3 linked regions of the Cricetulus griseus genome follow. The protein of the gene in region 2 purifies or fractionates together with the protein of the main gene of each other region. This does not show direct contact. Links are inferred from orthologs where the notes say so. Each region holds a gene or a part of one and is shown on either strand. Other genes may lie near its edges.

Region 1 (3,448 bases), on a different chromosome or scaffold from region 2:
TCCTTGATATTGAATTTCTCTCAGTGAAATAAAATATGCTTTAACAAGATGATGTTAATTTAAGTTTGACCACCTGGCTCTTTTTTTCTTTCTTTCTTTCTTTCTTTCACACTTTCAGAGGGAACTGATTTATCTATTATGCTCAGCCTTGCAAACGCCTGTTATAAAGACAAAATAGTTCCCAAGTGCCCCATAATCTCTCCTGATTGATAATGGGGAAGCTATGCATAATTGGAACATTAATCTTTTATGTTTCTAAATGGAAATATTTCTTGCAAAACAGTTACTCAACAGTTACTCAACAAAACACTAAGTTGCAAGTGGTCTGACTCCAAATGCAGAGTCATTTCCTCAGTACCTATCCATAGGTACAGAGATCTGGCCTTCCATTCCCAATAGAGTCCATGCAGTAGTCCTGTTTACAGTTTAATGGAGATGAGGGAAGGGGTAGTCACCTTACATACAGGTTTACAGTAGCATAGCCATTGTGTACCATTGTGTACCATATGCACTACATTCACCACTCCAGATGAAGGTCAGGGAGCCCCTTCAAACACTGGCACAAAGGAATGTTTGTTTTAAAGACCTACCAAAGAAACAACAAAACAAATGATAACACACAGAGGCACTAGTCTCAAAGCTGCACAATAGGGAAGCAAAGGGTTTGAGATGAGAAATTCAGGGAAATATACACATGAGCTTGCTGAGGAGGAGGAAAGAGACACAGTCTAATCTTCAAGGCTACGGAATGCGTTCTGCATATCTTCAAGAAGTTGTGCGTAGTCAGCTTTGATCCTTGCCTCGCCATCTTTCACAGGATCCTGAGAAATAATACAAATTTAATTCACCTATTGGAAATAATTTTCAAGATGTAAGATAGGTTACTTATTAATACGGAGTACCAGGTTAGTTGAGGTACACTGGTAAATCACAGGTAGGAGTCAAAACTACCCTATTTTCTTTTACAGTGGAAATGTGCAAATAGACTGAAACAAAACAAAATCCATTATTTCATTTTTGAATCTTGCCTGTAGTTGATGCTCAATGATCAAACCTCAGCAATGTGTATGTTAGTGGGAACTTCGTAATATCATGTACTAGACACATGTGTGTATACAAGAACTGGAAGTTAAAATTCAGTGAATTTCCTGAAGGCCTGGAGCATCACTCGAAGACGGAAAAGTGAGACTAATAGAGCACATTTAACGGAATCCGGGTCATTAGGTTTAGTAGCAAGTACCATTACCCACTAAGCCATTTAGTGGCCTCCAGGTCTGTGCTTCTACAGTACAAGTATGCTCAAAGCATCGTTTTCAGTGGGTGATTACTACATGTGCCTATGCGTGACTTAGAAATAACACTATGTGCCGGGTGTTAGTGGCACACACTTTTAATCCCAGTACTTGGAAGGCAGAGGCAGGTGGATCTCTGTGAGTTTGAGGCCAGCCTGGTCTACAGAGTGAGTTCCAGGCTTCAAAGCAATAGAGAAACCCTGTCTCAAAGAACAAAAAAAAAAAAAAAAAAAAAAGAAGTAACACAATGTAATCCAACTCATCAAATATTTTAAAACACTCCTATATCTGGGTTTCTACTGGTAAGTTCACTTAACTGGTTAAACTTTGTTTATGAGAAAGTGGAGGCTAGATGAAATAATAGGCACTTTACTAAAGTAACTGCTGTCCAGCTAGGACGTTACTCTATGCTGACTAGTAGCTAAGACAGAGAGCAAACACATTAGAATTTATTTTAGACATGGCATACTATAATATTTTTTTAATGTGTATGTGTGTGTGCCTGAGTATATATCTGTACATCCTTTGTGTGCAGTAATCCTTGGGTGTCAGCAAACTCAGATCCTCAGAGTTTCGGTTGTATCCACCATATAGGTGCTAGGAGTTGAATCCAGGCTCTCTGCAAGAGCAGTAAGTGCTCTTAACTGCTGAGCCTTCTTTCCAACCCTACAAACATGACATAGTACAATCTTTACCACTGGAATTCCTGCTTGAACATAACTTGGAAGATTGTTCTGGTTTTATACAACCTAAGTATTATAAAATGAAAAATGCAAATTTCAGGAACATAGAGATGGCTCAGCAGTTAAACTTGCTGCTTTTCCAGAGGACCCAAGCTTAGTTCCCAGCACCCACACTGTGTGCAGGCACCAGCTCCAGGTAATCCAACAGCCACTCTGTACTCCACAGGTGACCACACACAAGTGGCACAATACTTACAACAAATGTATCTATACACATAAATCAAATGAAAATAGGTCTTCAAAAAGAAAAATGCAAATTTCATACCTCAGGTTTGGAACTCAAATAGGACAGGAAGGAAGGGAAAGTGAAGAAGGGAGGGAGAGAGGGAGGGAGGGAGGAAGGAAGGTTGGCTTCTTGCCAACAAAGGTCAGAGTAGAAAGAAACTATACCTTAAATTTCATGGAGGAAAGTTTATAGAGGATCTCCCCCATGTGCTCACGGATAATGGACCATGTGATTTTATTGTCACTCTGGGCAGTGGTCTCAACAGCTCTACGGGCCATATCATAAAATGAAATCATGTTGGACAGCATCCCCACTGTCTTATAGAATGGACAGAACCTAGGGAAAATGAACAACAAGGCAATTAGCAAAAACAACCTACAAAGCAAGTGCATATTTTTATTATATGAAACTTCATGAATTACCAGCCATTAGTTTCTTTAAACATATATTCTGCTTCCAATTATTGAACAGAAAACAATGAAGCAGTACTGCCACACTAATGACTTGTCAGCAGTCTGTTTGGGTACAAGAAGTTAAATATGTAACTCAAGTGGAAAAACAACTGAGTTGTAAGACTCCTTGTGGCCAGAGTCAAGGTTTAATGAATAATAGGAAAGCAGAGAATTGCAAACTTGCTAAAGTTACCTTGTTATCCCTCCCTCCTCCGTGTACTCAGAGCCTTGGGTATCCCAGGTAAGCTATCACCCCCTCCCCAAGCCCCAGCCTTCAGTTCTCTTTAGTATACTCATTTTTATCTGCCCATACCTTTTAAAAGCATACACACTCAAGCACATGCACGCTCGCAAGCAAACACAAACACACACACACACACACACTCAACTCCATGTATCTTATTATAGTCATTCTGAAGAATTCTACCCATTCTCTTTATGTGGTGTTTCAGTTCAGGACAAATCAGACTTCTGAGGCTAACTGACATATTGGCATTCTGGTCAATCCTATTTGCTCAGTTTTCACCGTGGGTATCAGTCCGTGCCTTCCTCCTCCTCTGAGACAGTCTCGGCAGTCTACCACTGTGTATGCCACACTAGCTTCCTAGAAGTCCTGTTTCCAGCATCCTAGGACACAGATGTGTGCTACTGTGCTTGGCTTTGTGTGGATTTGGAGGGCTTGAAATCAGGCACATCAAGCCGGTTCCCTAGCTCTTTTTAGTCTTGGATGGAGTC
Region 2 (3,500 bases):
AAAGGTGCATTTTCCTGTGGGAGCTTAAAGTTGACACAAAGGATTTCACATCGTCAAGCACTTCATTCTTGGATTTATGTAGATTAACTAAATTGGTTCCTTTTCACGTCCATTTTGAGTGTGTATGTATTGCACAGAATTGTTCAATCCTCACTACAACCTAATCTGAAACCATCACACACTCGGAAGAAAGCTCACACGGGCCTCTTGTCCTCTGTGAAGTAGGACACCAGTATACAGTTAAGGGTACTGTGCGTGCAGGCGAGTGATGGGGTACTGATGGCAGGTGCCCAAGCAGACTGAAATGATATCCCAGGGAATGCTTCATACCCCAAATACATGCAATCTTGGTAATCAGTTCTGTGTTATCTTATGGTTACATTCATGTTATTTTGATATTCTTGGGGTCTAATTTTGATGTTTGTTGCTTTAACTATACTGAACTCCACGGTCAGTTAGCCCTGCCCATGTTTTATATATTTTTGGGTCTGTATTTGGGGGTGTAACTGTGGGGGTCCTCTTTGCACTGTCTGCACTGAACGCATGGCCTAGCAGAGCAGAGGCTTTATATTTACTTCAGCTGGGAGCAGCTTTTCTGTTAACTTCTTGCTTGGAGGCTTCCTAGGCAATATAAATTTAAGTCTCAAATCCACACAAAGAGAGCCCTGGGGTTATTAATGCCCTGGGAAACAGCACATACATAGACCATAGAGTGTCTTTTTGTTTCCTTTGCTGGCTGGTAAACTATCACTATTCCCTTTCACCGGGAGTGCAGCCCTTTTCTTGCTCCCCAGCTTCATAAGAAAGTGTTAGTTCAATCTCACAGAGAGCCAATGCCTCTTGGTAGTCCCAACTGGAAGCCTGCTAACTACAGGTTCCTCCTCTTTGTGGGAATCCCTATTTATTTGAGAGCTAAGCTACACATTTGAAACTGTTTATTTTATGTGCATTGGTGTTTTTGCCTGCATGTATATCTGTATGAAGGTGTCAAGTCACTTGAAGCTGCATTATAGACAGCTGTGAGCTGCCATGTGGGTGCCAAGCCTTCTTTCTAGCTCAAAACTTTTATTTTTTATCTAGCACTTCTAGAGGTTTTTTAGTGGAAACTGGAGGAGGAGGAAGGAAGGAGTCCAGGCCTATAAAGCTGCTTGGACTATTTGTTTCAAACAGTCTTGCTATGTAGCCTAACCTGACATTGAACTCACACTAATCCTCCTGCCTCAGCTTTCTGCCATCACACCTGATTGAAATACTTGCTTAAACAGGTACCCTTCCATCTCAGTTCAATCTGGTGGAAGGCAACAATCTCCAGCTGGCAGCTCTAGACTGTCTACGATCGGTACTGGCTACAGCCTTTATACTCCAACTCCCACACTGGTCCTTAAGATTGAGCATGGAGGACCTTGTAAATAGGTCCACAGGGCTGGGTATCTGATGACAGCAAGTGGTGGGGCTCACCATAAGTGATCTTCATTTTTCTTAGACAAAGTCTCATGTAGCCCAGCCCAGCTTAGCTTCCAATCCTACTCTGTGGCCAAGGATGGCTTTTAAGTTCCTGATCCTCTTGCTTCCACCTTCCAAGTGCTGCGATTACAGGTGTGAACTGCCATACCAGTCCAGTAACATTCTTAACTGGTGCTGCTACAGGGCACCTGCACCACTTTCCCAGCACTGCCAAGTGTGCTGAAGCTTTGTGTGAGACCATGTACCCAGACACCATTTTACCATGGCCATCAAGTTTCTCTCTGACCCCCTATGTCAGTGGCTCCTTTAAATATATGCTGCAATCCTCCTCACCATAAAATTATTTTCCTTGCTACTTCATAACTGTCATTTTGCTACTGTTATGAATTGTAACGTAAATACCTGTGTTTTCTGGTGGTCTTAGGCGACCTCTGTGAAAGGGTCGGTCAACCCTCAAAGGGGTTGTGACTCAGGTTGAGAACCAAAGCTCTGTATTATATACGTTCAGTCAAAGCAAGATCCACACTGAAATACTGATAAGCTACACCAAAATTATAAAGAGGTGTATGCAGAGGGTCCCAGAAAATGAGGGACTGGGTCACAAAAATAGTGTCTCTCTAGAAAAGCAGAATTTATAGGCTGAGAGAGGTACATTACTCCCTTGGAACAATTTCTAATGGCTCCTTAACATGCATAGCCTTACCAGCACTAACAGCTTTGCTTTCACTCCCAGCTCAAGAATTGATATTTAGATTACCTAATGGCAAGCCCAGGGAACCTAGTGTCACTGGTAAAAGTACAAAGCTACGTGAACAGGAAAGCTACATTATCACTGAAATTCTTTCTGATTTGCTAAACACTCATTCCTATCACCTATAGGTAATATAGAATTTCATCCTTTGTTTTTCTGGGTTTTGTTTTTTGTTTTTTCCTGCAGGGAAGATATCGAGACAGACCTCATATAGCCCAGGGTGACCTCAAACTCATTATGTAGTCAAGGATGACCTTGAACTCCTGAGCCTCCTGTCTTTGCCTCCCAAGTGCTAGGATTATAGGCCTACATCACCTCACTCAGCTTCAGAATTTCTAATTTTTTAATTACATTTTATTTGTGTATGTATATTAGTGTGTGGGTGTGGAGGTCAGAGGACAATGTCTAAGAGTCCCTTTGTCTCCTTCTATCATGAGCAATCTTGCCAGTAGCTCAGGGTTTTATTCTTTTTGTTTTGTTTTATTTTTCTCTGTGTAGCCTTAGCTGTCCTGGAACTCACTTTGTAGACCAGGCTGGCCTCAACTCAGAGATTCACCTGCCTTTGCCTCCCCAGTGCTGGGGTTAAAGGCGTGCACCACCATTGCTGGCACAGAGTGTTATTATTTAAAGTAAGTTAATCTCATAGTTTTAAAACAGGATCTAAAAACATACTCACCTCTTGCTCTGTCTCAAGGATGGTCCGTGACTTCCTCACAAAGGATGTGTCAAATGACTTGACAGTCACTAACTCTACCACTGCATTCCCACCATAGAGACCATACATGTCATCTGCAAACTGAAAGTTAGCTATTAACATTATGATGAATGGCAAAATACATAAATTTTGTTTACATTTGCAGTTTTGGTTAACAAAAACCTTATAGAACGGTTCATTGGTATCCATAGGGGACTGGTTCTAGAACTTCTACAGATTATAAACTCTATACTCTTACATGAAATGGTACAGTATTTGCATGGAAACTATGGGTAGCATCCTGTATACCCTAAATCTTCTCTAGAAGATACATGTCACTTAACATTGAAATGCTGTGTAGATAGTTGTTATACTATATTGATTAGGGACTAATGACAAGAATTATGGGTATAGATCTCATATACAAGGTATTGTTTCAAAATACATATACATTGTGGAATGGGTAAATTAGCTAGTTAACATATACACTACTTCACATACTGATTATTATTATTGTGGCTGGTCAAATCAGTATTTGTTAAAATTATTTGTAGCTTTATAAATAATTACATAGCATGTAATATTAATATA
Region 3 (2,565 bases), about 120 Mb from region 2:
CTCTCCCTCCTCGGGCCCTGCCACACCCTAGCGATGCCACCGTTTCTCCCGCTTATTTTCTGGAAGGGCTTCCAGCGCCTGAGTCTCCGCACCAGTACAATTTCGGGGGCAACGCAGATCTTCGCGAGCCCAGAGAAATGCGGGGCGGGGCGGGTCCGTGGCAGGTGCTGCGTCCCGCGAAGATCCATGCGCGGGAGCCGAGAGCGCCCCGCCCCGTCCCATCCCTCCTGGCGCGATCCCATACCGCCCCTCTGGGAGAAACAGCAAGGCCCTGTGGTATTTGCAGTTGCCTGTATCTTTCATTGTAAGGACTCTCCCCAAGGCCAGGAGAAATAATGGGCCTCTACCTTAACTCGTTAAGAGTATCAATCAGCTTGATGAAGACTCTCCCACCCTTCCCCTCTCACCTGTTAGGACTACACCTGGGCACTTCTTCCCCTCAGTCAAAAACAAATCTACTGTCAAGTGCAGAAATGAGTGACTCAAAGCCGAAGCCCAACACATATGACAACACGTCTTTATTTTATTAGGAAGGGAAACAAAAAGAGTACCCCCATCCCCATCTCTTGGCAGACAATCCTAGTGGGAATAAGCCTTGTGGAGGTCTCTTCTTTCTCAGGCTACAGAAATAAACCCCAGTGTACAGATCATTCTTAACATGTCACCCAAAAAACACAACAGCCAAGCTGGACAGACAGTTAAGTAGTCTTTCCATACATCTCAAACTCAAGGAACCTCAAGTTTATTGCTGTTGCTGGAAGATTCATAAAGCTTGGGGAGTGAGCATTAATTACACAGAAGCACTATAAACAGCAAGTAGCGGAGGGGCAAGAATAAATAAGGGGGAAAGGGAGAAAGGGAACCCTAGAATTAATGTTCCTTCCCCTCATGATGATGGAGCCTGGAAGATTTGTCTAATATCTATGAAGAATATATACACTTTGTTGGTAGAGATGGGGGATAGCCCCAGGGAAGCCAGTCCCTCAGTAGGTTGAAGAGGAAGCAAGACAGGCTGAGGGTACTGCAGGGTTCATGCTATCGAAGAGAAAAAAAACTTTCTATCCACTATGCCACAAGATGCAAACATGACAACCTAGACACCAACACTCCCTCAATCTCTCTCTGGCACAGGTCACACAATCTGTGTCAAAGTGATGGTGGGGCCCTTGTGGTCGTCAAAACGATCCATGGTCTTGAGGCTGAGTATCATGTGCAGGCCATAGGTGAAGATGAAAAGCATGAAGAGGGTGGTGAGCAGCCCCATCCAGATGCCTGGAGAGAAGAAGCCAGCACAGTCGCTAGCATAGGAGAACTGCTCACCCGTCACATTGAAGGCCTGGATCTAGGAGACACATAGACATGGATCAGAAGGGACCACAAGTTTCTACAGACAACAAGGGCTGGGGTTCTGGAATCAGTGAACAGTCTAGACCTTCAGAGACAGCATAAGGATGGAACTCTCAGCTACATGCTCAAGCCATACTGAAATTCTCTGGGCTCTTCTTCCCTCCCCCTACTGCCACCAGCTTGGAGCCCATTCCCCCTTTAATACCTGGAAGTCCTGAAGAGTCATCTGCCAGAGTGAGGGCACGTTGGTCACAAGGAGATTGCCTTTCTTGCTCAGACTGCTGACATACTCACAGTGGAAAGAATAGATGCTGGGTCCCGTGACTTGGGAAACATTGAAATGGGAAACAGAGCCATTGCTGTGGATTTCAAGTCGTTCCATAGTAAACCAGTATCGGGCAGACACTGGGTAGAAGCGACTAGCCAGAATGAACCTGGGAGGTGAGGGTAGCAGAGATTGTCAGATGAACAGAAGACAATGGAGACATACCAGCCAAGCCACACTTCAACCACCAGAACTTACTTGAATGTCACCATTGCACCAAAGAGTGGTTCATAGGTCAGTGAAAGCCTGTGGGACAAGGCAGAGGGGTGCTGTCAGGCTCTAGAAGGACCTAGAGTATGGTTCTCCTCAGGCTGGGTCCAATCTAAGCTGTCCTAAATCCATCCTTACAGTCACCTGCCAATACAGTGTCCCCATTTATCTGATGGGAAAACTAAGGCTCCAGTCATAAGCAAATCAGGAACAGTTGGGGGATCTGCACCTAGGTCCCAGATCTCCAGCTTAGGATTCCTTCCTCTGGTTCTCCTGAGTCCCCTGAGCCTCTTTCATCCCCTTCTTAAGGTTATTCAGCTGCCTGCTGAGGTTTCAGGTATAGGAAGCCTAGAACTGGTTTTGGCGGCTGGTCTGCTATTTGCTCACATGTAGTCCCAGGGGTTGAGTTCAAAGAAGCGCTAGGGTTCCAAGGGACTGTGTGAGGGTAATAACCCAGAACCCAACAACCAAGGCCTAAAAAGCATGGAAAGGTAAAACTTGTGAGGCTTCCTCTCCAGTAACCTCCCAGTAACATTACCCCGTGATACTATCTTCAAGTCCTTGGTGAACAGACCTTCTTCACCCCCAACATAGACACACCTGATCTACATTCTTGCCCTGTACTGGGCTCACAGTGGCAAGAAGGCCATATGTGATAACACAGTCCTTCCTTCCCTGCCTAG

What was found. The genes of interacting proteins can lie anywhere in the genome.
Region 1: the proteins of Atp6ap2 (region 2) and Atp6v1a purify together in Homo sapiens (co-immunoprecipitation; 3 studies listed by BioGRID and IntAct, with this or other methods). This does not show direct contact. The link is inferred for Cricetulus griseus from reciprocal best matches to the Homo sapiens genes ATP6AP2 and ATP6V1A.
Region 3: the proteins of Atp6ap2 (region 2) and Atp6ap1 purify together in Homo sapiens (affinity purification with mass spectrometry; 5 studies listed by BioGRID and IntAct, counting the BioPlex papers as one, with this or other methods). This does not show direct contact. The link is inferred for Cricetulus griseus from reciprocal best matches to the Homo sapiens genes ATP6AP2 and ATP6AP1.

Annotation. Positions count from the first base shown.
Region 1 is NC_048597.1:46,316,953-46,320,400, reverse strand, and holds the end of Atp6v1a (V-type proton ATPase catalytic subunit A), read right to left. Parts: intron 2,598-3,448; coding exon 2,426-2,597; intron 822-2,425; coding exon 729-821; 3' UTR 501-728; downstream 1-500. UniProt on the Homo sapiens protein: Catalytic subunit of the V1 complex of vacuolar(H+)-ATPase (V-ATPase), a multisubunit enzyme composed of a peripheral complex (V1) that hydrolyzes ATP and a membrane integral complex (V0) that translocates protons.
Region 2 is NC_048604.1:118,221,884-118,225,383, reverse strand, and holds part of Atp6ap2 (renin receptor), read right to left. Parts: intron 3,012-3,500; coding exon 2,892-3,011; intron 1-2,891. UniProt on the Homo sapiens protein: Multifunctional protein which functions as a renin, prorenin cellular receptor and is involved in the assembly of the lysosomal proton-transporting V-type ATPase (V-ATPase) and the acidification of the endo-lysosomal system.
Region 3 is NC_048604.1:1,419,039-1,421,603, forward strand, and holds the end of Atp6ap1 (V-type proton ATPase subunit S1), read right to left. Parts: intron 1,919-2,565; coding exon 1,871-1,918; intron 1,782-1,870; coding exon 1,553-1,781; intron 1,343-1,552; coding exon 1,133-1,342; 3' UTR 501-1,132; downstream 1-500. UniProt on the Homo sapiens protein: Accessory subunit of the proton-transporting vacuolar (V)-ATPase protein pump, which is required for luminal acidification of secretory vesicles.